2 linked regions of the Lonchura striata genome follow. The protein of the gene in region 1 purifies or fractionates together with the protein of each later gene. This does not show direct contact. Links are inferred from orthologs where the notes say so. Each region holds a gene or a part of one and is shown on either strand. Other genes may lie near its edges. The genes, in order: AP1M2 and AP1G1.

Region 1 (14,732 bases):
GGGACCCTCGGTTTGGGGACCCTCGGTTTGGGGAATCTGATTTGGGGAATCTGATTTGGGGACCCTCGATTTGGGACCCTCGATTTGGGGAACCTTGGTTTGGGGAATTTGATTTGGGGATCCTGGATTTGGGGATCCTGGATTTGGGGACCCTCGGTTTGGGACCCTCGATTTGGGAACCCAGGATTTGGGGATCCTGGATTTGGGGACCCTCGGTTTGGGGAATTTGATTTGGGGAATTTGATTTGGGGATCCTGGATTTGGGGATCCTCGATTTGGGGACCCTCAGTTGGGGAATCTGATTTGGGGACCCTCGGTTTGGGGAATTTGATTTGGGGACCCTTGGTTTGGGACCCTCGGTTTGGGGACCCTCAGTTGGGGACCCTCGGTTGGGGACCCAGGATTTGGGGACCCTAATTTGGGGACCCTGGATTTGGGGACCCTGGATTTGGGGACCCTCGGTTTGGGGAATCTGATCTGGGGAACCTCGGTTTGGGACCCAGGATTTGGGGACCCTAATTGGGGATCCTGGATTTGGGGACCCTCGCTTTGGGGACCCTGGATTTGAGGACCCTTAATTTGGGGACCCTTAATTTGGGGAGGACCCAGGATTTGGGGAGGACCCAGGATTTGGGGACTCTGGATTTGGGGACCCTCAATTTGGGGACCCTCGGTTTGGGGACCCAGGATTTGGGAACCCAGGATTTGGGGAGGACCCTCGATTTGGGGACCCGGATTTGGGGACCCGGATTTGGGGACCCGGATTTGGGTGACCCTGGATTTGGGGTGACCCCGGATTTGGGGGATTCCCTGATTTGGGGTGACCCCGGATTTGGGGTGACCCCTGATTTGGGGTGCCCCCGGATTTGGGGTGACCCCGGATTTGGGGACCCGGATTTGGGGTGACCCCGGATTTGAGGACCCCGGATTTGGGGTGACCCCGGATTTGGGGGATCCCCAGATTTGGAGACCTGGATTTGGGGTGACCCCGGATTTGGGGTGACCCCGGATTGGGGGACCCGGATTTGGGGTGACCCCGGATTGGGGGGACGGGGGCTCTGCCCACCTGTCGTAGATGGGCCCTTTGAAGGTGGGGTCGTATTTCTGCGGCGTTCCTGCGGGGAGGAAGAGGAGCGGCCGTGGGGAAGGGCAGCGGCGGGAGGAAGGCTCTGCTCATCCTCCTCATCCTCCTCTTCATCCTCATCCTCATCCTCATCTTCCTCATCCTCCTCATCCTCCTCGTCCTCCTCATCCTCATCCTCCTCGTCCTCCTCATCCTCCTCATCCTCATCCTCCTCGTCCTCCTCATCCTCGTCCTCATCTTCCTCATCCTCCTCGTCCTCGTCCTCCTCCTCGTCCTCATCCTCTTCGTCCTCCTCATCCTCCTCGTCCTCCTCATCCTCATCCTCCTCGTCCTCCTCATCCTCCTCATCCTCATCTTCCTCATCCTCATCCTCCTCGTCCTCATCCTCCTCGTCCTCCTCATCCTCCTCATCCTCATCCTCCTCGTCCTCCTCATCCTCATCCTCATCTTCCTCATCCTCCTCATCCTCATCCTCCTCCTCCTCCTCGTCCTCCTCATCCACATCCTCATCCTCCTCTTCATCCTCCCCGTCGTCCTCATCCTCCTCCTCCTCCTCCTCCCACAGAAACACCCCAAACCCCACAGAAAAACGCCAAATCCAATGGAAAAACCCCAAATCCCAGGTAAGCACCCCAAATCCCAGGGAAAAACCCCGAATCCAAGCCCAAATCCAAGGGAAACACCCCAAATCCAACCCCAAATCCCATGGAAACACCCCAAATCCAAGGGAAACACCCCAAATCCCAGGGAAACACCCCAAATCCCACAGAAAAAACCCCAAATCCCAGGAAAACACCCCAAATCCCAGGGAAACACCCCAAATCCCAGGGAAACACCCCAAATCCCACGGAAAAAAACCCAAATCCCATAGAAACAACCCAAATCCAAGGGAAAAACCCCAAATCCCACCAGAAACACCCCGAATCCAAGGGAAACACCCCAAATCCCACCAGAAACACCCCAAATCCAATCACAAATGCCACAGAAAAACACCAAATCCCAGGGAAACACCCCAAATCCCAGGGAAACACCCCAAATCCCAGGGAAACACCCCAAATCCAACCCCCAATCCAATCTAAAAGCCCCAAATCCCATGGAAACACCCCAAATCCCACAGAAACACCCCAAATCCCACGGAAAAAACCCAAATCCCACAGAAATACCCCAAATCCCATGGAAGCACCCCAAATCCCATGGAAAAAACCCAAATCCCAGGGAAAAACCCCAAATCCCAGTGAACACCCCAAATCCCAGGGAAAAACCCCAAATCCTACGAAAACACCCCAAATCCCACCAGAAACACCCCAAATGCCGGGGATATTTTTGGGGGGGATCATTTGCTTTGGGATATTTTTGGGAGGGTTCATTTACTTCGGGATATTTTTGGGGTCTCGTTTCCTTTGGGATATTTTTGGGGTCTCCTTTGTTTTGGGATATTTTTGGGGGTTCATTTTCTTTGGGATATTTTTGGGGCCCCATTTTCTTTGGGATATTTTTGGGGCTCGTTTGTTTTGGGATATTTTTGGGGGTTCATTTTCTTCGGGATATTTTTGGGGTTCGTTTGTTTTGGGATATTTTTGGGGTCTCGTTTGTTTTGGGATATTTTTTGGGTCTCATTTACTTTGGGATATTTTTGAGGGTTCGTTTCCTTTGGGATATTTTTGGGGGTCTCATTTCCTTTGGGATATTTTTGAGGGTTCGTTTCCTTTGGGATATTTTTGGGGTCTCATTTAATTTGGGATATTTTTGGGGCCCCGTTTCCTTTGGGATATTTTTGGGGCCCCATTTTCTTTGGGATATTTTTGAGGGTTCATTTTCTTCGGGATATTTTTGGGGTCTCGTTTCCTTTGGGATATTTTTGGGGTCTCGTTTTCTTTGGGATATTTTTGGGGTCTCGTTTGTTTTGGGATATTTTTGGGGCCCCGTTTCCTTTGGGATATTTTTGGGGTTCGTTTGCTTCGGGATATTTTTGGGGTCTCATTTTCTTTGGGATATTTTTGGGGTTCGTTTGTTTTGGGATATTTTTGGGGTCTCATTTACTTTGGGATATTTTTGGGGTTCATTTTCTTCGGGATATTTTTGGGGTCTCATTTTCTTCGGGATATTTTTGGGGCCCCATTTTCTTCGGGATATTTTTGGGGTCTCATTTTCTTCGGGATATTTTTGGGGTCTCGTTTGTTTTGGGATATTTTTGGGGGTTCATTTTCTTCGGGATATTTTTGGGGGTTCGTTTCCTTTGGGATATTTTTGGGGGTTCATTTTCTTCGGGATATTTTTGGGGCTCGTTTGTTTTGGGATATTTTTGGGGTCTCGTTTCCTTTGGGATATTTTTGGGGTCTCGTTTACTTTGGGATATTTTTGGGGCCCCGTTTCCTTTGGGATATTTTTGGGGGTTCGTTTTCTTCGGGATATTTTTGGGGTCTCATTTTCTTCGGGATATTTTTGGGGCCCCATTTTCTTCGGGATATTTTTGGGGTCTCATTTTCTTCGGGATATTTTTGGGGTCTCGTTTGTTTTGGGATATTTTTGGGGGTTCATTTTCTTCGGGATATTTTTGGGGGTTCGTTTCCTTTGGGATATTTTTGGGGGTTCATTTTCTTCGGGATATTTTTGGGGCTCGTTTGTTTTGGGATATTTTTGGGGTCTCGTTTCCTTTGGGATATTTTTGGGGTCTCGTTTACTTTGGGATATTTTTGGGGCCCCGTTTCCTTTGGGATATTTTTGGGGGTTCGTTTTCTTCGGGATATTTTTGGGGTTTGTTTCCTTTGGGATATTTTTGGGGGTTCGTTTCCTTCGGGATATTTTTGGGGCCCCATTTTCTTTGGGATATTTTTGGGGGGGCTCCGTTTTCCGGGGGGCCGCTCTCCCCTCTCCGAACCCCCCGAACCCCCGGAACCGATCCCGGGCCAGCCCCGGGGCCGCCGCTCCCGGTGACGCCGCGGAACCGCCGGAGCCGGTTTTTATCCCGGCCGCGGCTGCCGGGCCGGTCCTGCGGTTACCGGGGAGCTTCACCCCAAAATCCCCCAAAAAACCCCCAAAAAACCAACCGCGGGCCCCCCAAAAAACCGCGGGGGGGGGGGGGCGCGGCCGATTTTACTTTCGCTTTTTATCTCCCGGTTTTCCGCCCGGTTTCGGTTCGTTTTTCCGCCTTTCCGTTTCTCTCCTCCCGCCGCCCGCCCGTAGGAACGCCCCAAAACCGCCGGTAACCCCCCAAAAAAACCCCCCGGACCCACCGGGAGCCCCGAACGGAGCCCCCCGACCCCCCAAAAAATTCCCCCGAGCTCCGGTCGCCGTTCCGACCCCCCCAAAATCCGCCGCCCCCGCCGCCGTTACCGTGTTTGCCGTAGTAGTTGTCCCCGTGTCCCCCCATCCCGGACCCGTTCCCGTTCCCGTTCCCGTTCGCACCGGGCTGGGCAGGGCTCAGGCGACCCCGCCCCAAAATCCGCCCTCCGGGGCACGAACGGGAGCCAAGCCCCGCCCCGGGAGCGGCGGAGCCCCGGTGCACCGGGGAGAGCGCGGAGGAGCGGGCACCGGCACCGGGGGGCAGCGGGGAGAGCTCCGGTCCCGGGGTTACCGAGAATTCACACACCGGGGCAAAGCGAGGAGCTCCGGTACCGGGGTTACCGGGAATTCAGACACTGGGGCAAAGCGAGGAGCTCCGGTCCCGGTACCGGGAAGCTCCGGGGTTACCGGGGGATTCAGACACGGGAGCAAACAGAGGAGCTCCGGTACCGGGAATCTCCGGGGTTACCGGGGGATTCTGGCACCGGGGCAAAGCGAGGAGCTCCGGTACCGGGGTTACCGGGAGATTCAGGCACCGGGGCAAAGCGAGGAGCTCCGGTCCCGGTACCGGGAAGCTCCGGGGTTACCGGGGGATTCAGACACGGGAGCAAACAGAGGAGCTCCGGTCCCGGGAATCTCCGGGGTTACCGGGGAATTCTGGCACCGGGGCAAACCGAGGAGCTCCGGTCCCGGGGTTACCGGGAATTCAGCCACCGGGGCAAACAGAGGAGCTCCGGTCCCGGTACCGGGAAGCTCCGGGGCGCGGTCCGGCCCCGCCAGACCCGGTCCGGAGGCCGGTACCGGGCGGGGAGTGTCCGGTCGGTGCCGGGAAAAGGGCGGCGGGCGGTGCCGGCTCCCCGCCGCCGTGACGCCGGTTCCAGCCCCGCCCCGGTTCTCGTGCGGTAAATAAATCACCGGGAGCGGCCGCCGGTGATGTCAGCACCGGGAACAAAGAGCGGGCCGGGAAAAACGGGGGGTCCCGCCGCTCGGGGGGCTCCGGTGCCCGCGGGGAGGGGCCCGGGGCTGCCTCCCGGGTCCCCTCCCTCCCTCCGGTACCGGAGCGGGCACCGGGGACACCGCCGGGACCCCGCCCGGGAGCCCGAGCCCCCCAAAATGGGGGTCACGAAATGGGGGTCCTGAAATGGGGGTCCTGAAATGGGGGTCACGAAATGGGAGTCACGAAATGGGGGTCCTGAAATGGGGGTCCTGAAATGGGGGACACGAAATGGGGGTCCTGAAATGGGGTCACGAAATGGGGGACCCGAAATGGGGTCCTGAAATGGGGGTCACGAAATGGGGGACACGAAATGGGGGTCACGAAATGGGGGTCACCAAAATGGGGGTCACAAAATGGGGGTCACGAAATGGGGGTCACGAAATGGGGGTCACGAAATGGGGGTCACGAAATGGGGGTCCTGAAATGGGGGTCACGAAATGGGGGACACGAAATGGGGGTCACGAAATGGGGGTCCTGAAATGGGGGTCACCAAAATGGGGGTCACGAATTGGGGGTCCTGAAATGGGGGACACGAAATGGGGGTCCTGAAATGGGGGTCACGAAATGGGGGTCACGAAATGGGGGTCCTGAAATGGGGGTCACGAAATGGGGGTCCTGAAATGGGGGTCTCGAAATGGGGGTCCCGAAATGGGGGTCACGAATTGGGGGTCACGAATTGGGGTCTCCAAATGGGGGTCCCGAAATGGGGGTCACGAAATGGGGGTCACGAAATGGGGGTCCTGAAATGGGGGACCCGAAATGGGGGTCACGAAATGGGGGTCCCGAAATGGGGGTCCTGAAATGGGGGTCACGAAATGGGGGTCACCAAAATGGGGTCGCCAAAATGGGGGTTCCAAAACGGGGTCCCCAAACGCGGGGGTCCCCAAAATGGGGGTCTCCAAACGTGGGGGTCTCCAAGGGTGGGGGTCCCCAAATCCGGGGGTCCCCAAAATGGGGGTTCCAAAACGGGGTCTCCAAACGCGGGGGTCACCAAAATGGGGGTCCCCAAAACGGGGGTCCCCAAAATGGGGTCACCAAAATGGGGGTCCCCAAAACGGGGGTCCCCAAAATGGGGTCACCAAAATGGGGGTCCCCAAAACGGGGGTCCCCAAAATGGGGTCACCAAAATGGGGGTCCCCAAAACGGGGGTCCCCAAGGGGGGGGGGTCCCCAAAACTGGGTTCCCCAAAACGGGGATTCCCCAAAATGGGGGTCCCGAAGCCGGGGGTCCCAACCCCGGGGGTTCGGGGGGACCCCCGGGCGGGGCGCGGGGCGGATGCTCGGTACCGTAATCGCCGTCCGGGTCCCTCCTGCCCGCGGGCCGGTCCATGGCGGCTCTGGGCGGCTCCTCCGGTAGCACCGGAGCCCCCCCGGTATCCCCGGTATCCCCGGTACCCCCGGGCTGTGCCTGCGGGCGGGGCGGCTCCGGGCCCGGCCCTCAGCACCGATCCGCCCCCGGGGCCGGGCCCGGGCCCGTCCCGCCCCTCCCGGGGCTCCGGTGGGACCGGAGGATGCGGGGGGGGGGGTGCGGGAATTGGAAGGTGCCCGAAGGGAATTGGGGGGTCTGGGGGCTTTTGGGGGGGTCACGCAGAGTGGGGGATGTCGGCATGGAGACCCCCACCCCGGAGGGGAGGATGTGGGGGTGCAGCGATCCCCCTCCCGTGGGGGTCACCCGTGGGGGGGGGGTCTGGGGGTGCAGGGACCACCCAAGGTGGGGGGTCTGATGGAGACCCCTCATGGGTGGGGGGCACAGGGGGTCTGGGGGGGCTGCAGCGACCCCCAGGGTGGGGAATCCAGCCATCAGAAGCTGCGGGGACACCCCCCCCCCCCCCAAAAAAGGAAATTTTGGGGGCGCAGAGACCCCCTCCCCACCGTGGGGCACGCGGGGGTCCCAAACCCACCTTTGGGTGTCACCCCACGCCCCCCACCCCAAAACGGAGGGGTGGGGCTGGGGGTGGCCGTGGAGTGGGCGAGGTTGGGGGGTCTCCCCCCAGCAGGGGAGGGGGTGAGACCCCCGGTGTGGGGAGAGGGGCGGGGCCGTCCCCTTTAAGGCGCGGCCGCGCACCTGGGCAGGTGACGGTGCCGGAGGTGACGGCGCGGGAGCCATGGCCGCCTCCGCCCTCTTCATCCTGGACCTCAAGGGGAAGGTGAGACCCCCCGACAGACCCCCAAAACCCGCCGGGGGTCGCCCCGCTGTCCCCTCTGTCCCTAAAGGTCAGCTGAGGTCAGTGGTGGATTTTGGGGAGGGGGTTTCTCCACTGTGACCCCCTCCCCACACTCACCACGACCACCCCAAACCCTAACGTGGGTGGGGGTCTCCCCTCTGTTGGGGCTGGGGGTCTCCCCACTGGGGTACCCTCTGTCCTTATCAGTGGCCGTGACCCCGTGGATTTTGGGGAGGGGGTTTCTCCACCTGTGACCCCCTCCCCACACCCACCACGACCACCCCAAACCCTACCGTGGGTGGGGGTCTCCCCTCTGTTGGGTCTGGGGGTCTCCCCACTGGGGTCCCCTCTGTCCCTAAAGGTCAGCCAAGGTCAGTGGTGGTGACCCCCCCTGTGACCCCGTGGATTTTGGGGAGGGGGTTTCTCCACTGTGACCCCCTCCCCACACCCACCACGACCACCCTACTTGGGGTGGGGGTCTCCCCACTGTCCCCTCTGTCCCTGAAGGTCAGCCAAGGTCAGTGGTGGTGACCCCCCCATGACCCCGTGGATTTTGGGGATTTTGGGGAGGGGGTTTCTCCACTGTGACCCCCTCCCCACACCGCCACGACCACCCCAAACCCTAACGTGGGTGGGGGTCTCCCCTCTGCCCGGGCTGGGGGTCTCCCCACTGGGGTCCCCTCTGTCCCTAAAGGTCAGCCAAGGTCAGTGGTGGTGACCCCCCCCCCGTGACCCCGTGGATTTTGGGGAGGGGGTTTCTCCACGTGTGACCCCCTCCCCACACCCACCACGACCACCCTACTTGGGGTGGGGGTCTCCCCACTGTCCTCTCTGTCCCTAAAGGTCAGCCAAGGTCAGTGGTGGTGACCCCCCCGTGACCCCGTGGATTTTGGGGATTTTGGGGAGGGGGTTTCTCCACTGTGACCCCCTCCCCACACCCCCACGACCACCCCAAACCCTAATGTGGGTGGGGGTCTCCCCTCTGTTGGGGCTGGGGGTCTCCCCACTGGGGTCCCCTCTGTCCCTAAAGGTCAGCCAAGGTCAGTGGTGGTGACCCCCCCCGTGACCCCGTGGATTTTGGGGAGGGGGTTTCTCCACCTGTGACCCCCTCCCCACACCCACCACGACCACCCTACTTGGGGTGGGGGTCTCCCCACTGTCCCCTCTGTCCCTGAAGGTCAGCCAAGGTCAGTGGTGGTGACCCCCCCATGACCCCGTGGATTTTGGGGATTTTGGGGAGGGGGTTTCTCCACTGTGACCCCCTCCCCACACCGCCACGACCACCCCAAACCCTAACGTGGGTGGGGGTCTCCCCTCTGCCCGGGCTGGGGGTCTCCCCACTGGGGTCCCCTCTGTCCCTAAAGGTCAGCCAAGGTCAGTGGTGGTGACCCCCCCCCCGTGACCCCGTGGATTTTGGGGAGGGGGTTTCTCCACGTGTGACCCCCTCCCCACACCCACCACGACCACCCTACTTGGGGTGGGGGTCTCCCCACTGTCCTCTCTGTCCCTAAAGGTCAGCCAAGGTCAGTGGTGGTGACCCCCCCGTGACCCCGTGGATTTTGGGGATTTTGGGGAGGGGGTTTCTCCACTGTGACCCCCTCCCCACACCCCCACGACCACCCCAAACCCTAATGTGGGTGGGGGTCTCCCCTCTGTTGGGGCTGGGGGTCTCCCCACTGGGGTCCCCTCTGTCCCTAAAGGTCAGCCAAGGTCAGTGGTGGTGACCCCCCCCGTGACCCCGTGGATTTTGGGGAGGGGGTTTCTCCACCTGTGACCCCCTCCCCACACCCACCACGACCACCCTACTTGGGGTGGGGGTCTCCCCACTGTCCCCTCTGTCCCTGAAGGTCAGCCAAGGTCAGTGGTGGTGACCCCCCCGTGACCCCGTGGATTTTGGGGATTTTGGGGAGGGGGTTTCTCCACTGTGACCCCTCCCCACACCCCCACGACCACCCCAAACCCTACTTGGGGTGGGGGTCTCCCCTCTGTTGGGGCTGGGGTCTCCCCACTGCCCCCTCTGCCCTTCTCAGTGACCGTGACCCCCCCCCCGACCCCGAGGCGTGCCGAGCAACTTGGGGAGAGGGGAAATTGGGGTGGGGGTCCCCATTTCTGACCCCCCGGCCGCCCCGCAGCCGCTGATCAGCCGCAGCTACAAGGGGGACGTGGGGCTGGGGGACATCGAGAACTTCCTGGGGGTCCTGCAGCAGCGCGAGGAGGAGGGGACGCTGACGCCCGTCCTCCCCTGCGGCCACCTCCACTTCCTGTGGATCAAACACGCCAACCTCTACCGTATCCTTCCGGGACCCCCTCCCCAAAATCACCCCGGGACCCCTCCCCAGCCTCGGGTTTTTCCTTAAGCCCACCTCAGTGGTGGCCACCACCAAGAAGAACGGCAACGCCTCCTTGGTCTTCTCCTTCCTCTACAAGGTGGTGGAGGTGAGCTGGGGAGGGGTCTCGGGTGGGTCTGGGGGTGAGGACCACCCTAATTTAGGGTTTTCCCCGCACCCCGGGGTGCTGGGACCCCCTCCCCAAGGTGTTCTGCGAGTACTTCAAGGAGCTGGAGGAGGAGAGCGTCCGCGACAACTTCGTCATCGTCTACGAGCTGCTGGACGAGCTGATGGACTTCGGCTTCCCGCAGACCACGGACAGCAAGATCCTGCAGGAGTGAGCGTGGGGAGGGGGCCACGGGATCCCCTTCCCACCCCGCTGCCCCTTCCCACCCCAATTCCCATCCCTTTCCCACCCCAATCCTCGTTCCCACCCCAATTCCCATCCCTATCCCACCCCAATCTCCATCCCTATCCCACCCCAATCCTCGTTCCCACCCCAATTCCCATCCCCTTCCCACCCCAATCCTTGTTCCCACCCCAATTCCCATCCCCTTCCCACCCCAATCCTTGTTCCCACCCCAATTCCCATCCCCTTCCCACCCCAATCCTCGTTCCCACCCCAATTCCCATCCCCTTCCCACCCCAATCCTTGTTCCCACCCCAATTCCCATCCCCTTCCCACCCCAATCCTCGTTCCCACCCCAATCTCCATCCCCTTCCCACCCCAATTCCCATCCCTATCCCACCCCAATCCTCGTTCCCATCCCAATCCTCATTCCCACCCCAATTCCCATCCCTATCCCACCCCAATCCTCGTTCCCATCCCAATCCTCATTCCCACCCCAATTCCCATCCCTATCGCACCCCAATCCTCGTTCCCACCCCAATCCTCATTCCCACCCCAATCCCCATCCCTTTCCCACCCCAATCCTCCTTCCCACCCCAATCCTCATCCCCTTCCCACCCCGCTGCCCCTTCCCACCCCAATTCCCATTCCTTTCCCACCCCAATCCTCATTCCCACCCCAATCCTCATTCCCACCCCAATCCTCATCCCCTTCCCACCCCGCTGCCCGTTCCCACCCCAATTCCTATTCCTTTCCCACCCCAATCTCCATCCCCTTCCCAGCCCAATCCTCATTCCCACCCCAATCCTCGTTCCCACCCGAATCCCCATCCCCTTCCCACCCCACTGCCCGTTCCCACCCCAATCCCCATCCCCTTCCCACCCCAATTCCCTTTTCCACCCCAATCCCTATCCCATTCCCACCCCACTGCCTGTTCCCACCCCAATATCCATCCCTGTTCCCACCCCAACCCTCCTTTCCCACCCCAATCCTCATTCCCACCCCAATCCTCATTCCCACCCCAATATCCATCCCCTTCCAATCACAATCCCCATCTCCATCCCTATCCCAATCCCCATCCCTTTCCCCGCCATCCCCATCCTCATTTTCACCCCAATCCTCATTCCCACCCCAATCTCCATCCCCTTCCCACCCCAATCTCCATCCCTATCCCAATCCCCATCCCTTTCCCAATCCCCATCCCTTTCCCTGCCATCCCCATCCTCATTTCCACTTTAATCCTCTTTCCCACCCCAATATCCATCCCCTTTTCCACCTCAATCCCCATCCCCTTCCCACCCCAACCCTCATTCCCACCCCAATCCTCATTCCCACCCCAATCTCCATCCCTATCCCAATCCCCATCCCTTTCCCCACCATCCCCATCCTCATTTTCACCCCAATCCTCGTTCCCACCCCAATCTCCATCCCCTTCCCACCCCAATCTCCATCCCTATCCCATTCCCCATCTTTTCCCACCCCAATCCCCCTCCCCACCGCCCCCTCCCCAGGTACATCACGCAGGAGGGGAAGCGGCTGGAGGCGGGCGGGGGGCGCGTGCCCAGCACGGTGACCAACGCCGTGTCCTGGCGCTCCGAGGGCATCTGCCACAAGAAGAACGAGGTGTTCATCGACGTGGTGGAGGCCGTCAACCTGCTGGTGAGGGGCACGGGGGCACCGGGGGTACTGGGGGAACTGGGGGAACTGGGGGGACTGGGGGCACAAGAAGAACGAGGTGTTCATCGACGTGGTGGAGGCCGTCAACCTGCTGGTGAGGGGCACGGGGGGTACTGGGGGAACTGGGGGGACTGGGGGGACTGGGGGAACTGGGGGGACTGGGGGGACTGGGGACACAAGAAGAACGAGGTGTTCGTCGATGTGGTGGAGGCCGTCAACCTGCTGGTGAGGGGCACCGGGGGTACTGGGAGGACTGGGGGGACTGGGGGAACTGGGGGAACTGGGGGGACTGGGGGAACTGGGGGAACTGGGGGGACTGGGGGAACTGGGGGAACTGGGGGGACTGGGGGCATGGGGGGCACTGAGGGTACTGGGGGTACTGGGGGGAACTGGGAGGACTGGGGGTACTGGGGGTATTGGGGGTACTGGGGGGACTGGGGATATGGGGGGGGGAAAGGGAGCAAAATTGGGGTGGGAATGAGGATTGGAATGGGAAGGGGATAGGGATTGGGGTGGGAATGAAGATTGGGTGGGAAAGGAATGGGAATTGGGGTGGGAATGAGGATTGGGGTGGGATAGGGAGCAAAATTGGGGTGGGAATGAGGATTGGGGTGGAAATGAGGATTGGGGTGGGAAAGAGATGAGGATTGGGGTGGGAATGAGGATTAGGATGAGAATGTGGATTGGGATGGGAAGGGGATGTGAATTGGGGTGGGAACAAGGATTGGGGTGGGAAAAGAATGGGGATTGGGGTGGGATAGGGAGGGGGATTGGGGTGGGAATGAGGTTTGGGGTGGGAATGAGGATTGGGGTGGAATAGGGAGCAAGACTGGGGTGGGAATGAGGATTGGGATGGAAAAGGAATGGGAATTGGGGTGGGAATGAGGATTGGGATGGGAAAGGAATGGGAATTGGGGTGGGGATGAGGATTAGGGTGGGATAGGGAGGAAGATTGGGGTGGGAATGAGGATTGGGATGGGAAAGGAATGGGAATTGGGGTGGGAATGAGGATTGGGATGGGAAAGGAATGGGAATTGGGATGGGAATGAGGATTGGGATGGGAAAGGAATGGGAATTGGAATGGGAATTGGGGTGGGAATGAAGATTGGGATGGGAAAGGGACAGAGATTGGGGTGGGAATGAGGATTGGGATGGGAAAGGAATGGGAATTGGGGTGGGAATGAAGATTGGGATGGGAAAGGGACAGAGATTGGGGTGGGAATGAAGATTGGGATGGGAAAGGAATGGGAATTGGGATGGGAATGAAGATTGGGATGGGAAAGGAATGGGAATTGGGGTGGGGATGAGGATTAGGGTGGGATAGGGAGGAAGATTGGGGTGGAAATGAGGATTGGGGTGGGAAGGGGATGGGGATTGGGATGGGAATGAGGATTGGCGTGGCAAACGGAGGGGTCTCAGGCCGTGCCAGCCCGTGCCAGCTCCCAGCCCGCGCCGCGCCGTGCCCGCAGGTGAGCGCCAGCGGCAGCGTGGTGCTGAGCGAGGTGCTGGGCACCATCAGGCTGAAGGTTTTCCTCTCGGGAATGCCGGAGCTGCGTCTGGGCCTCAACGACCGCGTCCTCTTCGAGCTGACGGGCCGTGAGTGCCGGGGGGGCTGGGGGTCTCAGCCCCCCAAAAAATCCCTCCTGAGCCCCCTCCCCGCCTCCTGCCAGGGGGGACCAACAAGTCGGTGGAGCTGGAGGATGTGAAGTTCCACCAATGCGTCCGTCTGTCCCGCTTCGACAGCGACCGCACCATCTCCTTCATCCCCCCCGACGGCGACTTCGAGCTCATGTCCTACCGCCTGCACACCCAGGTGGGGTCAGACGGGGGGTGGGACCCCCAAATGGGGGGTGGGACCATCCAAACGGGGGTGGGACCACCCAGACGGGGGCTTGGAGCCTTCAAATGGGGGATGGGACCACCCAGATGGGGGATGAGACCACCCAAATGGGGGATGGGACCACCCAGATGGGGGCTGGGAGCCTTCAAATGGGGGTGGGACCATCCAAACGGGGGTGGGACCACCCAGACGGGGGCTGGGACCACCCAAATGGGGGTGGGACCACCCAGATGGGGGCTTGGAGCCTCCAAATGGGGGATGGGACCACCAAATGGGGGGTGGGACCCCCCTTCTGGGGTTTGGGACCCTCAGCTTGGGACTGGGACCCCTCCTGGGGGCTGCAAATCCTCTTGGGGGGCTGCAAATCCTCTTGGGGGGCTGCAAATCCGTTCTGGGGGCTGCAAATTTGGGCTGGGGGCTGCAAATTCACTCCTGGGGGCTTCGTGGCCACATTCCAAGGCACCGGGATCCTTTTCCCTGGGGCCGTGCCCCCCCGTCCGTGTGTCCAGGACCCCTGTCCATGTGTCCAGCCCCCCCATCCATGTGTCCAGCCCCCCCGTCCATGTGTCCAGCCCCCCCGTCCGTGTGTCCAGGACCCCTGTCCATGTGTCCAGCCCCCCCATCCATGTGTCCAGCCCCCCCGTCCATGTGTCCAGCCCCCCCGTCCGTGTGTCCAGGACCCCCGTCCGTGTGTCCAGCACCCCCGTCCGTGTGTCCAGGACCCCTGTCCATGTGTCCAGGACCCCCGTCCGTGTGTCCAGCCCCCCCGTCCGTGTGTCCAGCCCCCTGTCTGTGTGTCCAGCCCCCCCGTCCGTGTGTCCAGCCCCCCCGTCCGTGTGTCCAGGACCCCTGTCCGTGTGTCCAGCCCCCCCGTCCATGTGTCCAGCCCCCCGTCCGTGTGTCCAGGACCCCCATCCGTGTGTCCAGCCCCCCGTCCGTGTGTCCAGGACCCCTGTCCATGTGTCCAGCCCCCCCATCCATGTGTCCAGCCCCCCCGTCCATGTGTCCAGCC
Region 2 (14,788 bases), on another chromosome or scaffold:
CCTTGCATAAATAAAGAATTAGCAAAGCACACTGTAAAGATTATTTTTCCTCCTCACTTCACAAACACAGGAAAGCAAGCAGAACCAGCACTTTAGAAAGGAAGGATTGATGGGCAAGACTCAAGAAACATTTTCTGAGGCTTCCTGCTGTTCTCACTTGTGTAACAAATAACACAGTTACATAGTCTAACCTGAAGGACTAAGAGCAACTGTATCTCACACGCATACTTTGTGCCTGATGAGAACAGAAAAATTCAGAACTGCTCTGATGGAGGATTACAAAAGGACAAAAGACAGAGCTGTAATTTATTTTCCAGTATTCAGAAAAGGCATTTCTAGCCTTGTGCTGAAACTACATCCTTTTTTTAGTCAATATCAAATCATTCAGCTTTTACTATACCTTTGAATCCATCCCATACAAAAGATTTTGCACCCATCTATGTTCTCTTAATATCAAAAATTCTTGTGTCAGGTACCTGTTCTTTGCCTTCAGTGACTTTAACATTCTTCTGCATGCTAATATATTGGAAATCTCATCACAGTTTTGAGTTTCAGACTTTTCAAGTGTAAGCTGTAGCTACTACAGATGAGAAGAAACTTTGGACATGAGAATGCTTAAATTCAGAAACATTACAGAAGAGATTAACGTTTACCTAGTCTCAGCAATTCCTAAGCCTATTATAATGCAACAGATCTTTACTGCAACAATGGGAGGATAACTGTATCTTCTAGCAATAGCAGACAGTGGAGCTTCAGCTGGTGCCTAAGCGCTCCTTAGAACTTCCTCCTAAGTAGCAAATCTTGTTCTTCAAGATTAGTTAACATTTTTCACCGGTACAAACACATCCTTTTATTCTTTGCACATCAACATAAATGACAAGGCAGTTTGTAGACGTTGTTACCTATTTCCTCCTTCAGTTGAAAACAGGGGTTTCCTTCAGCCATTTCTTTGCTAACTACGAGCACCAAAAATCAGGGATAATTTCTGAATACTTGAAAGAGCCTACTAGTTAATATTTACAATATCTGGTAGTGTTGCACACAGAGTTTTTCAACCTTATAAGACCTCTTTCCCTCTTCTAATTTTGAAAGCCTTGCTCCTTAGAAGAACATACTATCAAGATCAAAACTTCTGAAAGAATCGGAGACTGAATTCAGATTAGCTCAGGTTGTATAGGTGGCCGGTGTTTAAGTTCCTTAGGACACAGAATTCCAGCTTCTTTCCTAAAATCCAGAGACTAGAAAAGGTGTCACCTCAGCGATCCTCATTCCTCTGCTGTTCAGGAATCCTTCCCATGAACTAATAAAAAGGCATTCTCTTTCTTTGTGTAACTCATCGCTACTATACAAAAGTGAAAAAAAACAAAACCGCAAAAATCTTTATGTATTAAACCATTTCATTTTCATTTACATTGTACTGATAAATCACTGTTTTCTCCTCTTTTATGGTCTGTTACTAGTAAAGCTTATTATGTTTGAAAGTTAAAGATTTTATTCAACAGGCCATTGTACCAAAAATATTTCAGTATAGAACTTTACTAGAAGTCTCTCTTAGAATACAATCACATTCAAATATAATAGGCCATCTTTTATATTTACAACACACACCTAATATTACCAAAACCCACCTTAAATCATCAAGTGCTTTAGTTAAGCTTTATTCCTCTATCAGGAATTGCAGAATAAAGACAAAGGATAGTCCTTAAACACTGAGTTGAGAAGATGTCCTCTGGAAACTATTCAGGAATGTTAGCTTATGCCTAAACTATCTAATGCGTTTCTAAGACAATAAAACTTTAAAAAATAACAATTGTTTTAAAACTTCATTAGGACAAATTATCAGACATCTAACATTTTAACATTCCATTATTATTTAGCCTTAAATTCCGGAAATGTTAAGACATAAAGGCCATCAAAATTAATGAAATTATTCACAGAAGAGATCTACTGTTTGGGGAAATGGTCTGAATTTTCAGTTGTGGTGATATACGCACCAAGTTACAGCTTTTCACGTAAATTGCATTTCTGAATTTGGTTCTGTCTAGAAAACACCCCAAGCCTGAAGCACTTCAAACACATCTAAAACACACAACTCCAGTTGCTCCACCCCAACAATGCATAAGTAATCACACTCCTCAAGCAACCCCAGCTTTTGGGAAGTTACACAACTAAAGCCAAACAGCCAAACTCCCAAATGAAATCAGCAGCAGAACTCCCCTACTTGCTGAGGTGCAACTGAATCCAGCCGAGTACACACAAGAGCAGAGGATCTGTCCAGACTCCATGAAAGGAGTAATTGCAGTGTTGACACCCAACACTGATGGCTTCAACTACACACTGCCATCAGTAGACTTCCCACTTCTATCAGACACTTAAAAAGAAAAATATGTTAGCAATAAAACCAGAAACATACTCTCCAAGTAGAGATGAGGGTGTCAACAAATGCAGAGATATTAGTATATGGTCTAGTATTAGCAATATTTATACAGATAACAGTAAATATTAAATTATTATAACTATTTATACAATAAACACCAAAGGAAGAAGCACCATCATCATTAAGAAGGGCAAAGGCAACACAAAGGAGTTGAGAGAAAGAGTAATCAACAACATAACATGCTAGCTAAGTGGGACAATCTCTTGTCAGGAAAAAGCTATTGAATGCAATAGAGAACTAGAAAGCAACATCAGAAAATCACAAAGCAATTAAGTCAGCAGGGGGCTTAAAAAATGCAGTCACATAAGAAAAGGCATTAGAGTTACACTTTGCTTTATGCAGAGACAGCTGGAGAAGAGCAGGGGAGGTCAAATAAGAAAAAAAGTATCCCAAAACAAGAGCTAAAAACAGTCCTGAAGAGATGGTCCCACTTCCAGTTACATTGAAAAAAAAAAAAACAAACCACCAACAAGGAATGCAGCACAACATTATTTAAAAAGCAAGGCTCAGTGCTACTCAAGAGTTGAGAGGAAGAGGAGAGGCAGGACAGAGGCTGAGGACATTGCACAGATCCCACCCAATCCCACTGCCAAACAACTACAGACCCCTTCCCACTCCCTGCTGACTGAGGCATGGCCCCAGAGCACAAGTCAGCACTTTAGATAAGGTATCCCATTCCTGCACAACTGTGCACATACACCAAACGCAGCAACTCCTGAGCTGCCTTCACACTGAGCTCCCAGTCAGTACAAACATTAACCTCAACAACTGCCAAAAAAGAAGAGAAATATCACCCTATTTTTTTAAGAAGGTAAAAAATGTAGGAAGAAGAATTAGCACAGCTATACAGCTGATCACCATGACAGATTCAAGAAGAATTCAAGATTTTCTGGCTTCTTCAATCACCACTGACCTACATTATCTTATCAACTGCTTCTAATTTCCCCTTAATTTAATCTGTGAACTACTCTGGCTATTTTACTTCCTGTTCACTTTCCTGCAGAGTTAAACTTTAAATAATAATAATTTTAAAAAGCCACTAGTTTGTCACAAAAACCCCTACACCCTTCTAGGTCCTTGCTAATGCCAGAGGAAAGACAAGATTTTTACATTAATTAATATGAACTTTACAACAGGCCACATAACTTCAGCTGTTCTCTAAAAAGTTCTAATCTTTTATTTCACTTGTAGCATTTCTGCCAAATAGCAGATACAGGCTGCACTAATACCTGTGATATCAGCAGATTCACTTGTACTCACATTACTGTAGCTCTGTTTTTTAAGTTACAGCCTGATCATACATTTACTTATTAACTCCAAAATGCTCCTCCAGTAAACTAATGCTCTTACCATAGCAGAACAGACCCTCTCCCCAAAGAACAGCTGAGTATCATCTAGGACAAATTAGCATCACCTGCATTCAGAAGAAATTGTTCTATCATTAAAAAATGTGATGAGATCACACAACCCATGGCCTGCAGTTCTACAGGGCCAGCTCACAAATACAAATATTCACTCTGGAGAGGCACAAGCAGCTTTACTGACTGCCATCACTTTTAGCAGCAGTAAAGATTTACACGAGCCCACACACTTGGAAAGCTGATGCTCCAAACCTGAACTGCGCTAACTAGGGTGGGCTCTGTGTGCCTGAGAACAGCCAGTTTGGACTCCTGTGCACTGTCCACAACCTTCTCACACCATGGCCTGACAGACTCACTAATCTCATGCACAGCGAGGCCACTGCAAAACGCACTACACCAACAATCAGAGCATTTCTGTTATCCCCTAATCTCTCACGGGACACTTCAAAGGTACTACACGATCTTTCCATCTCTACCGTGCCACTCTCAGAAAAACACATCAGCAGTCACAGGAACAGAAAAGAAAAACAACAAAAAAGGAAGAAAATGTTTTTTTTTTAATCATAAAGGGAGAAAATATGAAAGCTATCCTACACACTGGAAACACAAAAGCTGGATCCCCTCACAAAACAATAACCCAAGACTTACTTTTCCCTTCTCAAGAAACAGGAATTTTAATACCTTTCCTCTCCTTCTCCCAGCACAGTAGAATGGAAGGGTTCACACCAACCTCCTCAGAAAAAAACCCACAAAATCTCCTGCCTTCATTCAGCTCTTGAATACCCAACAAGTACTCAAGTTTTCAAATCCTGTGCCAAACACCAGAGAGCACACAAGTAAACAGATGAAAGAATCTGGCAACAAATGACAAGAATTTGATATACAAACAAACAAAGGAAAAAAATCCCAAGTGTAGTTTAGAGGAGAGGTAGCAGGGAAATGGGTACAAAAAGCTATTGTGCTCTACTACACAAAAAAACAACAGGGAAACAAAACAGCACAAATTTCTCTGCCATTTTAAATGTAGGATGCTAGGAGCATCCCTAAAAGATTCCCCTGCATTTACAGGGGAAAACACACTATATTTTACTGTTTAAGCCACTATGGACCAAACACCTTTTGGCCACACATGTGACACTGTTAACCTTTCAAAGATCTTCCACTGGGATTCTGCACTGTCCCATTAATATTTCAAGCATCAGAAACTGAAATTTGTCGCTCAACATTTTTACACATCACTTTCAACACAATAAAACACACACCTGTTCCATCTGTTAACTTTAAAAACAGTGTCTACTATAAAATAAACTACAATTTATCTTATAGCTCGTGCGAGAGCTCAGCCAGCCTTGAAGAAGGGACTTGAAGGCGCCCTTAGAGACCGGCCATAGCAGCTCACTGCAAATACCTTGAGCCAGACCGAAAATCTCCTGCTTCCATTAAAACCCATAACCGGGAAGTAATGCAGACGCTGCAATATTCGGAGCGCTTGTGCAGCCTAGGCAATCATATAGCGAGGGGAAGGCCGAGCACAAGTCCCGACTTCTGCCAGGACGGCAGCGGGCCACAGCACGAACCGCTCTTGAGGTACGCGCTACTGCTGCCGCTGCCCGACCTCCGGGCACGGGGGCCGAGGCAGGGCTGCACCGCCGTCTCTCCGGCAAAGAATGGCTAGGGCACGCACGGACCGCTCCCACACCCGAGCAGGAGGCCCCGGGGCGCAGGGGAGAGTTGGAAGCGGGCCGGAGCGCCAGGCAGAGACAGCGGCGCCGACAGAGGCGGCGGGAGGGCAGGGGGCGGCCTCGCGGACAGAGCAGCCGAGGCCCAGCGGCGGAGCTCGGGGCGGAGAGAGGCCCCAGGACTCGCAGGCCCCAGGCGGCGAGACCCGGAGGTCAGGGGAAGCCCGGCGGGGCAGCAAAGACCCGAGCCGGTCCCACTCACCAGGCCGGTCCCTGCAGCGGTGGCGGCGGATAGAGCCGGGCATTCAAAATGGCGGCGGCGCGGCCGCAGCACCGATACCGCAGGCGGAGGGATCCAGGCCGACTCGCTCCCCGCGACTCCGCAGGCTCTGCCGACCGCGGGTGCGAGCGCGGCCGCGCCGAGTTCGGCGGGAACGGGGCGGGGATGGCGAGAGTGTGGTACAGTAGAGGCGGTGGCGGGACCGAAAATACCGCTTGCACTACTTTTCTTGGCGGAAGCACCCGTGAGGTCTTATACGAAAACTTGCGTCTGCACCGTGGCATTCCCTGATGACGTCATGCGCGGGGCGGTCCCGGCACGCGCGCTCCCCATGCCGGGGCCGGGCGGGACCCGCCGCCCGTGTCCGCGGTTCCGGGATCGAGGGGTTCCGAGGGGCCAAGCCGCTCCCAGTTCGCCGAACCTTGCACTGTTGAAACGTCCAGCGGCGGCGGGGTGAACGCAGGGCGCCGCAGGAAACGAGGCAGCTCTGGAAGGGGATACAGAGCCACCCCCGCCCCAGGCAGCTATTCTGTTCCCGCTTCCAGGACCTTATGCCACATTAACGATTATCGAATGACGAGTAGCTGCCCCCGCGGAGCCCGGTCGGCAGCACGGGGCCAGCTGGACACTGCGGGGGTGCGAGACAGGGCACGGGCACGTTCAGACCGAAGGCTCCTGCAGGGGAGCCGGGCCACGCTGCCGCTGGGCCCTCGCTGCCAGCCAACCGCGGAGCGATCCGGTCCGGGGCGCGGGGCCAACAACAGCCGCGCGGCGCTGCCGCCAGGCGCCTGCGCTGGGGCCGGGCGGGCGCGGCTCGCGGGTCGAGCTCAGCTCCGGGCGGACGCGGCTGGTTGCCACGGCAACGGCGCTGCGCGTGCCCCGGGACGCCATCCGGCGCGGCGGAGCCACGCCTACCGAGCAGTTCCGGCGTTCGGCGTGCGCGTCATTGCCATGAGACGCGTCATCGCCGTGCGCCACGGGCGGGGAGGAGCCGGTCCGGGCGCCGGGCGGGCCCGCGGGGCCGGTCCAGGCCATGGCGGGTGAGCCACGGGCACCGGGCGGGCACCGGGCGGGAACCGGGCGAGCCCGCGGGGCCGGTCCAGGCCATGGCGGGTGAGCCGCGGGTACCGGGCGGGCACCGGGCGAGCCCGCGGGGCCGGTCCGGGCCATGGCGGGTGAGCCGCGGGCACCGGGCGAGCACCAGGCGGGCCCGCAGGACGCTACGGGGCGGGGTGCGCGGTAGCGCGGCCGCGGTTTTGGGGCCGGGGTTGGGGGCGGCGACCGGGCTCGGGCGTCTTCCGTCCTCGCGTCCCGCACCGGGGCCAGCGGCCGTCGCCGTGGCCGTTCCCGGGGCCGGGGTTCGGGCCACCTCCCCTTCCCGAGGCCTGGACTCACGGCTCCCTCTGTTCCCGGCACAGGTGAGGCGGCGGCCGGCGGCGCGGATCCCGGAGCCCGCGCGTGGCAACCCCAGTGGGTGCCCCCATGAACGAGCGGCGCGGCCGGGGCTGCCGGGACACCGCAGGGCGCCATGAGAGCGGGCCAGGAGCGCAGCCAGGAGTGTCTCCCGCCCAAGAAGCGAGAACTTGCCGCCGCCAACACTGGCACCGAGGCGGGACGGGCCGGGGGAGCCCAGGGCTCGGGCTCGGGCCCCGAGTGGGCTCGCACGGCTCGCCCGGCTCCCGCCACACCGCGCTACGGTCCCGGCGAGGCCCCCGAGGCAGCAGCGGGGCTGACGGTGGACCAATACGGGATGCTCTACAAAGTGGCAGCACCGCCTGCCACCTTCTCCCCCACGGGCCTGCACCCCGTGGTGAACGTGAGCCCCCTGCCCCCAGCCTTCAGCGTGACCTCGCCCATCATCCAGCACCCGGCGGTGCCCTTCCCCTCCATCCACTATGCACAGATCCCTTCGGCTTCCCTGCAGCTCATTGGTTCCCCCTACACAGTGCCCTATGCCGTCCCTCCTGCCTTCATGCCTAGTCCTCTCCTGTCTCCTTCCACAAACCTCAGTGCCCCCCATGTCCCCCACTTTGTTCCATATGCCTCCCTGTTCACAGAAGAAGCTGCTCCTTCCTCCCAGACTACCTCTCCTACCCACAGCTTCAACAAATCCACCTCTGCAGCCTCTCCTGGGCAGATGCAGCACCACACTGCGTCCCAACCAGTGGACATGCCACCGGGGAGGATTCCTGTTTATTATCAGATGTCCCGCCTCCCACCAGGCTATTCAGCCTATGAGGCACCTGTAGCAGGTGGGAACCCAGACTCTCCTCAGCAAGACAGTCAGCTGAGCTCAGAGGTGGCTGCGGCCAATGGTGGGCAGAGGCCCCTGGAGCAAAGTGTGGCCAGGAGGCCCAACGAGGCTGTGGACTCTGCCAGCAGTGCAGCTGAGGACTGTCTGCCCCCAGGGGCTGCAGCAGGATCTATGGGTGATGGACAGTTCCTTCCAGGTCACCAGATGCTGGGAAGAGAGATCTCTGTGCCTACTCACAGGAGCACCCCAGACGCTGATCTGGAGGTTCAGAGAGTGGTGGGGGTGTTGGCATCTCAGGATTATCATGTTCTGGCAGCCCAGAGGAAAGATGACCCAAGCCCTTTAAATCTTTGCCATAATACCACTGATGGGCAGGGAGACATGCTGAGGAACACCACAGATAGGGCTGCAGCTGGGAACAGCCAGTCCCAGAGCCCATGTGGAATGTCCCCCGAAGAGACTGCTAGACAGAGACAGTTAGCCAAAGGAATGGTGATAGCCAATGGCAAGCCAGTACTTGTTCCCGTTGGATCTGAGCCCGTCAGGTCTTCCACTTCAGAAGTCCTGCTGAGGGAAAGCCCAGATGCACAGGCTCGAGGATATGTGCTTGAAAAGGAGCTGGCCCAGTTGCAGCCACCCAGTTCCTCACAACTGCCCTCTCACTTCATGAAAGGAGCCATCATCCAGCTGGCGACGGGAGAGCTGAAGCGGGTGGAGGACCTGCAGACTCAAGACTTTGTTCGCAGTGCGGAGGTGAGTGGAGGCCTGAAGATCGACTCCAGCACTGTGGTGGATATTCAGGAAAGCCAGTGGCCTGGGCTTGTCACACTGCATTTTGTGGTTGGGGAGCAACAAAGTAAAGTGAGCATTGATGTGCCCCCGGAGCATCCCTTCTTTGTGTATGGCCAGGGCTGGTCCTCCTGCAGCCCCGGGAGGACTGCTCAGCTCTTTGCTTTACCCTGTCACAGGCTGCAAGTGGGGGATGTATGCATATCAATCAGTTTACAGAGCATGAATGGCAACTCTGCTTCTCAGGCCAACTCCCCTCTCATGGATCAGCTGGTATCTGCTAGGGAGAGATTGGAACGAACAGCCCAGGGGCCCAGAGAGCCATGTGACAGAGCTGGTGAAAGGAAGAGCCACACAGATAGAACCAGCACGGCTCAGAGCTCCCATGCAGAATCTTCTCAGTCTGAGGCTGGCAATCTGTACAGTTTGGCCCCAGGCTTCCAAAGATACAGCGTGCAGGCAGAGGAGCCTCGGCCCTCTCTGCTCCGTCCCTCTTTCATTCCCCAGGAGGTCAAGCTGTCTATTGAAGGGCGTTCGAATGCAGGGAAATGATCCCTTAGAGGTGTGAGCTAGGGCAGCCACAGCAAGCGAGCCTCACCATCAGGTAGAGGAATTGCACAGACTGTCAGAGGCTCACCAACAAAGGCTGCTTTCTGCCTTGCAGGAATAGCTCCATTCCAGTTCCATGGCTGACCAGTTGCTCCTGGGGAGTCAGGAGGCCTTCAGTGCCTCAGGGAGCAGCGACAGGCTAGCTGGGGTGGGGAGCAGGGATGTGGTCATGAGTGTGTGATGAGAGCATTCCACAGGCTGCTGGAGGCTGGGGCTTTCTCCCACTTCCTGGGATAACTGACTCCCTGCGGGGCAGGGGCTGAGCATTTGGGGCAGGTAGGGAGATGAGGAGGGCAGACTTGTCTTAAGGTAGCAGATAAAATTGCTGAAGATTTTATTTCTCCTTTCTCATGATGGGGAGATATGGGTCCCCCCTGGAGTTTGGGGGCTCTACTCCCAGCATCCCCTTTCTTCACACATGCACTTTAAAAGGACCGTTCACCGATGGAGCTCTCAAGGGCAGGATGGAGGTGCTTCTCTGGTGGTTCTGATTAATGTCTCTTCCACTGAATCCAACTACTCTTTCTTCTTGCAAAGAATGTACAGATTTGAATGAATCACATAAATTCAAGAGGAAGGACCAAAAGGATGGGCTTGGGTGCAGGTGAATAGGGAACTTGAGCACTTGAGATGGGACACAAGTTGGGATGGGAGACATTGTTTCCTGCTGTAAACTCTACTTAGTTGTTTTGCCACCAAATCAAATCTTTCTTCCTATGTTAATAACTTCCAAAAAACCCTCCTGGGCTTATAGCTTTTGCAGAGGTTAACCGAGGGATGAATGGGGTTGGATTTTTTTGTTTGGTCAAATTTTGATTTTGGATATTTTATTGGTTTGGTTTGTTTTTTTTTTTTTTTTTTTTTTTTTAATCTGGAGCAAAATACATTCAACATTCTCTAGAGAAGGTTGAAAACATCCTTCTTCTGTGAGAAGACCAATGCTATTTTGTTATTAAGTCAGAAAAATGTTCCAGATGGCTAGTTCTTCCCTGCAGGCAGTTTCTTGAATAAGCTCTATACAAGAGACGAAGTGTTTGTGCACATGCAGACAAGGTACAAAATTTGTGCTAAGTACAATTCTATGATTAATGTACGGACTCTAGAAATATCATAGTGTCACAGGGCATTTTGGGGTCATTTTGTGTTAGTTTTTCTGATGCTTCACTTCAGAGTTCCTCTGTAGAACAATGTAATCAAATCAAGAGTAGTTTTTTTCATGGTGAAATTTAATACAGTTGTGTATGAACAGCTGATTGTGGTGGTAACACTCTATTGAGTGAAGGCTCCTGTAGTTACACTAATTTGCCCTCTCTGATGGTGTTATGACACCATTGCTCAGCTAGGATAAAGAATAGTCACTGTTCTGGTAAGAAAATGGTTTTCACTGACTTAACCTGGGTTGAGTATTCCTTGTGTTGAGGTGCCCATCTCTGTGCTAGGACCAGGCTTTGGAGGGGGCTTTCTTAGTACGCAGAGTCCTGATGTTCAGCATGCTGTTCCTATCTCCCTGCTCTCATCTGCCTGAAATTTGTCAAGTGTGCCTGACTCTTGGGGTGCCACTCCTCTCTGTCACAGAATGGTGTGTGTCAGCACCTCCCCTTGCAGTGGTGCTGTCTCAGGGCTGTTCTGCACTCCCCAGGAGTGTGTCCTGTAACTGGTTTGCTTCTGCTGACTGTGCAATGGATGCATCTGTGTATTAGGCAAGTTAGTCTTCAGAATGTCCCTTCCATCCCGGCCTCAGTCCTGTTTTCTTAGCATATTACTAGCCATTTCTGCTGCCTTTAAAATGCCTGCACCAGGACAGGCCTTAGGTGAGATATGTGCTAATTATGCCCTCAGTGTTTGTGCCTCACAGGGTTCTCTGGAATGAGGATGCTGTCCCAAATGACACACTACTTCTGGTTTCATCAGCTGCATTTGGGATGTCACAGTGATGCTGTTGTGTGAAGATTCTGCCTCCTCAGGTGCAGGACCTATAGGAAACTATGCTGTTTTCACAACCCTGTGAAAGTTTCACAACCCCAGTGAAGTCTCCACCTGGGCCCCATCATCACCTGGGGGTGTCACAGCTCCTGCTGACTGGGACTCTCCTATGTAAAACTCCATTAATGTTAGTAATTAGTACTTAATATTCAGGATATCTGAGGTGTCCATGGCCAAAGGCAGGAGGCAGAGGAGCCTGGGTTCTCATGCCTGTTCTATGGACAGTGCATGCAGAAGGATTCAGGGCTTCAACAGGCACTTGAGAAAGGGATCTCGCATACATAGGGCTTGTGAATGTAGAAGGGCTGGTTACACCATAGAGGCAGTGTCTGAGCAACTGGTAGTGCAGAGCCCCTTGACTATCTCTGAACCCCGAAGTTTGTCTTAGAGTAAGGGTTTGGAGAGCTTGCCTTAACACCATGTGTGTTACTGTAACTCCTCAATCTCAGCTGCACTGTGCAGTAGTCTGAATGGGCAGTATTGACAAATGAGGCAAGATGCTGTGTGACTTAAATAGCTTTGTGCTGTAGGCACGTGAAGAACTGTGAAGGTGCTTGCCCTGTTGTCTACCTGGCTGCTGATCTGGACTCTGGCTTGCTGCACCTCTGTTGGGTGCAGTCCTGAGCTCTGTGGAACAAGCCGTGGTGAACTAGACCTTGGTGCTTTTATCCAGACTCCTGTCAGTCCTGCTGCTGTGTTTCGGCTGCCAGCTCTTCCCTGGAAGCAGTGGTTTGAAGCACAGCTCATGACAGGGGACTGAGATTAAGAATCTGTGTGTCTGGCTGTTTGCCCCAAAGGGTGGACAGGAGGGGGCCACTGACAACTCTCCAGCCAAGCTCAGCAGTACTGGTATCACAGGAACCTGTTCTTACTGGACAGGGCTGTATGGCTGAGCACCATAGTGGTGGTTGTGCTGAGCACTGAGGCTCTCCTGGGACAGGCAATATGTGGGACAGGGAGTATGTGAGACAGGCTCTGCTGCAGTGAGAAAGGCTGTGAATGAACGATGGAGGAGGCTTTTATTTCTCGGGTTTACAGGGAGAGGAGATAAAGCCAGGAAGACACTGCAGAGTAGGATGGTTACCTGGGCTTTTCTGCTGGTAGAGATGTGACAGACTTCTCAGAGAAATATACCACGTTCCTGCTGCTATTGTCTAGGGTAGGAGAGCTGTGGTCCTGCCTGGAGGAGGCCCTAATCTTATCCAGCTCATGCTCTGTAGCAGGAATCCATGGGATGCAATAGTGGGTGTCTGTAGCCATCTGTCCCATCCCATGGAACATGCCTCAGGTTAGCTGCACAGCAGAGCAAGGCCTGTCTCTGGGCTGTGCATTCACAGCAATGAGCGCTCATCACTACCAGACTATGCAGAGGAAGCTCTGTCTGGAAGGGAAGGAAGCTGCAGAGGTCCCTCTGCCTTCTCCTTCCAGCTGCTGAGCAGCTTTTTATATTGCACTTTTCACGTTGTGTCCCTGTCCCCACCCCACACTTCAAGTCACTTTGTCCTATAGAGAACTAACAATCCTTGTTACTCAGAAAATATTGTAAAAGAAACTACAGCAGCTGGAGTAGCCCAAATGCTAGTTCCTGCCTGCAGCAGCATACGTGCCTTCCCCAGCATCACTCACAACTGCTCCCTATCTTTCAAGCTGTGCTAGAGCCTGACACTTGTCAGAAGCTGCTAAGATAGCTACAAATATACATCCTGTAGAGTTTGGCCCAGGGTGTTCCACATACAGTTTAAAACGCTGATGGTCCAGGCCGTCCCATGGCCTTCACACTGTCAAGGACAGAATTGCCCCATAGGTCCTGGGCTGCTGCCACCCACCCTGCCAACACACCCCTGGCACACTCGAGTTGTTTTTGGCTTTCATGGCACCTTAGCACCAGGGAGGGTGTGCTCAGAGAGAGAGAGAAACATGGGGGAGCTGGCTGGGCTGCCCTGAGGCAGAGAGATGTTTGTAGATAAGTGCTGACCCCTCACTATATCCCCCAGTATATGGCTGTATTAACATGTAACCGATGCAGTGTATCTAAAGCCTTAGAACTAGTCAGGTGCTCCCCTCCAACTTTGTCCCTGCCCCTTTCCTCCTACCTGATCTTTAACAAAGCATTAATAATTCTAAGGATAATCTCTATTTTGTTGTGCTTTTTTTGTAACTGTTTTAAATAAATCAATTTGTACTGTATATTTGTACTTTGGTGAGATCCTTTTTCCTGTTTTACCATTTTAAGTCTGTACTTGCCTACAAACAAATTGTATTTTTATTGTTAATGCTTTTATGAATATTGCATTTAACTTGTTGACTCTGTAAACACAGTATATATCTATATACATATATATATATCTATATATAAACCAATAGCTTTTCCTTTGGTGTTTGAGACTTTTTGCTTGTGTGCAGTATCAGTGGTCATTAGCATGTGGCTTCTCTGGATTTACACAGTGATCTGGAGACTCATGTCAAAGGCAAGATACAGGGTGGAAGATGGATTATAAGTCATAATTCTGTGTTTTCAGATACTTTTGTGTTATGTGGTCTCTCCTGAACCCCTTGGAATAAAGATAAGGTGTCAGTGACAATACAAGGAAAGTTCCAGCTGCAGGTTGGAGAGTAAAGGTACATCCGTGCTGGGAGAGCAAAAACATGAGGCAGAGCAAAAGCAGATACTGCCAGAAGCAACCTGGGGGTTTGAGTATCAAATGAACACAAGTGAAGATAAAAGGGAGAGATCACAGAACAAAAGAGGATATGAACAAAGGAACATGGACCTGAACAGCTCCTTTACAGTGCCTTTTCCCAAAGAGGAGAAGCAGGGATAGCTCCTGGGTATCAGCTCTACATGATGAATGAACATAATATTAAAACAGCTTCAATACAGGGAAGAAGCTTGATATTGCAGTGGCAGGAGGAGAAAACTTTCGCTGAAAAGCTTCAATGCTGTTTCATCCCTTGGGATGCCTCTGAGAGTGGTTCTTTATTGCACAGAAAAGTGCAACATTATGCATTTTGAAGTTAACTTTTTAAACTAGGGCTTTAAGGGACTGCAATCAAATTTTTTTCAAACTGAAAAGTGAGGAGGAAATGAGGGTTTTAAGGAGTCTGATCAAAAGGTTTTGCTTCTTGTTTTAACTTAAACTCTTCTGATCTCAAGCAGCAGTCTTGTTGTCATCATTTCTGACTTAAAGAGAAACAGCCATCAGAGAGAACACAGTACTTCCCAAGGTGTTTGAACCACTGTATGACTCTAGACATAAACTGGAAATACTATGGCGCTAATAGGGGTTTTCAGGCTACAAAACAAAGAAGCGTGGCATACTGGCCTTTGTGGGCTGATGTCTCAAAACCACGAAGCTAACACCATGCATTTTCAGGTGCTCACTCTTAAAGAAGCCA

The links.
Region 2: the proteins of AP1M2 (region 1) and AP1G1 purify together in Homo sapiens (affinity purification with mass spectrometry; 4 studies listed by BioGRID and IntAct, counting the BioPlex papers as one, with this or other methods). This does not show direct contact. The link is inferred for Lonchura striata from reciprocal best matches to the Homo sapiens genes AP1M2 and AP1G1.

The regions. Positions count from the first base shown.
Region 1 is NC_134623.1:1,059,234-1,073,965, reverse strand, and holds the start of AP1M2 (AP-1 complex subunit mu-2), read left to right. Parts: upstream 1-7,412; 5' UTR 7,413-7,467; coding exon 7,468-7,509; intron 7,510-9,659; coding exon 9,660-9,816; intron 9,817-9,895; coding exon 9,896-9,963; intron 9,964-10,060; coding exon 10,061-10,191; intron 10,192-11,714; coding exon 11,715-11,862; intron 11,863-13,349; coding exon 13,350-13,476; intron 13,477-13,550; coding exon 13,551-13,693; intron 13,694-14,732. Other genes in the region: SLC44A2 (choline transporter-like protein 2), read right to left, coding at 1,067-1,115, 4,418-4,454. UniProt on the Homo sapiens protein: Subunit of clathrin-associated adaptor protein complex 1 that plays a role in protein sorting in the trans-Golgi network (TGN) and endosomes.
Region 2 is NC_134615.1:23,776,444-23,791,231, reverse strand, and holds the start of AP1G1 (AP-1 complex subunit gamma-1), read right to left. Parts: upstream 5,853-14,788; 5' UTR 5,740-5,852; intron 1-5,739. Other genes in the region: ATXN1L (ataxin-1-like), read left to right, coding at 7,286-9,352. UniProt on the Homo sapiens protein: Subunit of clathrin-associated adaptor protein complex 1 that plays a role in protein sorting in the late-Golgi/trans-Golgi network (TGN) and/or endosomes.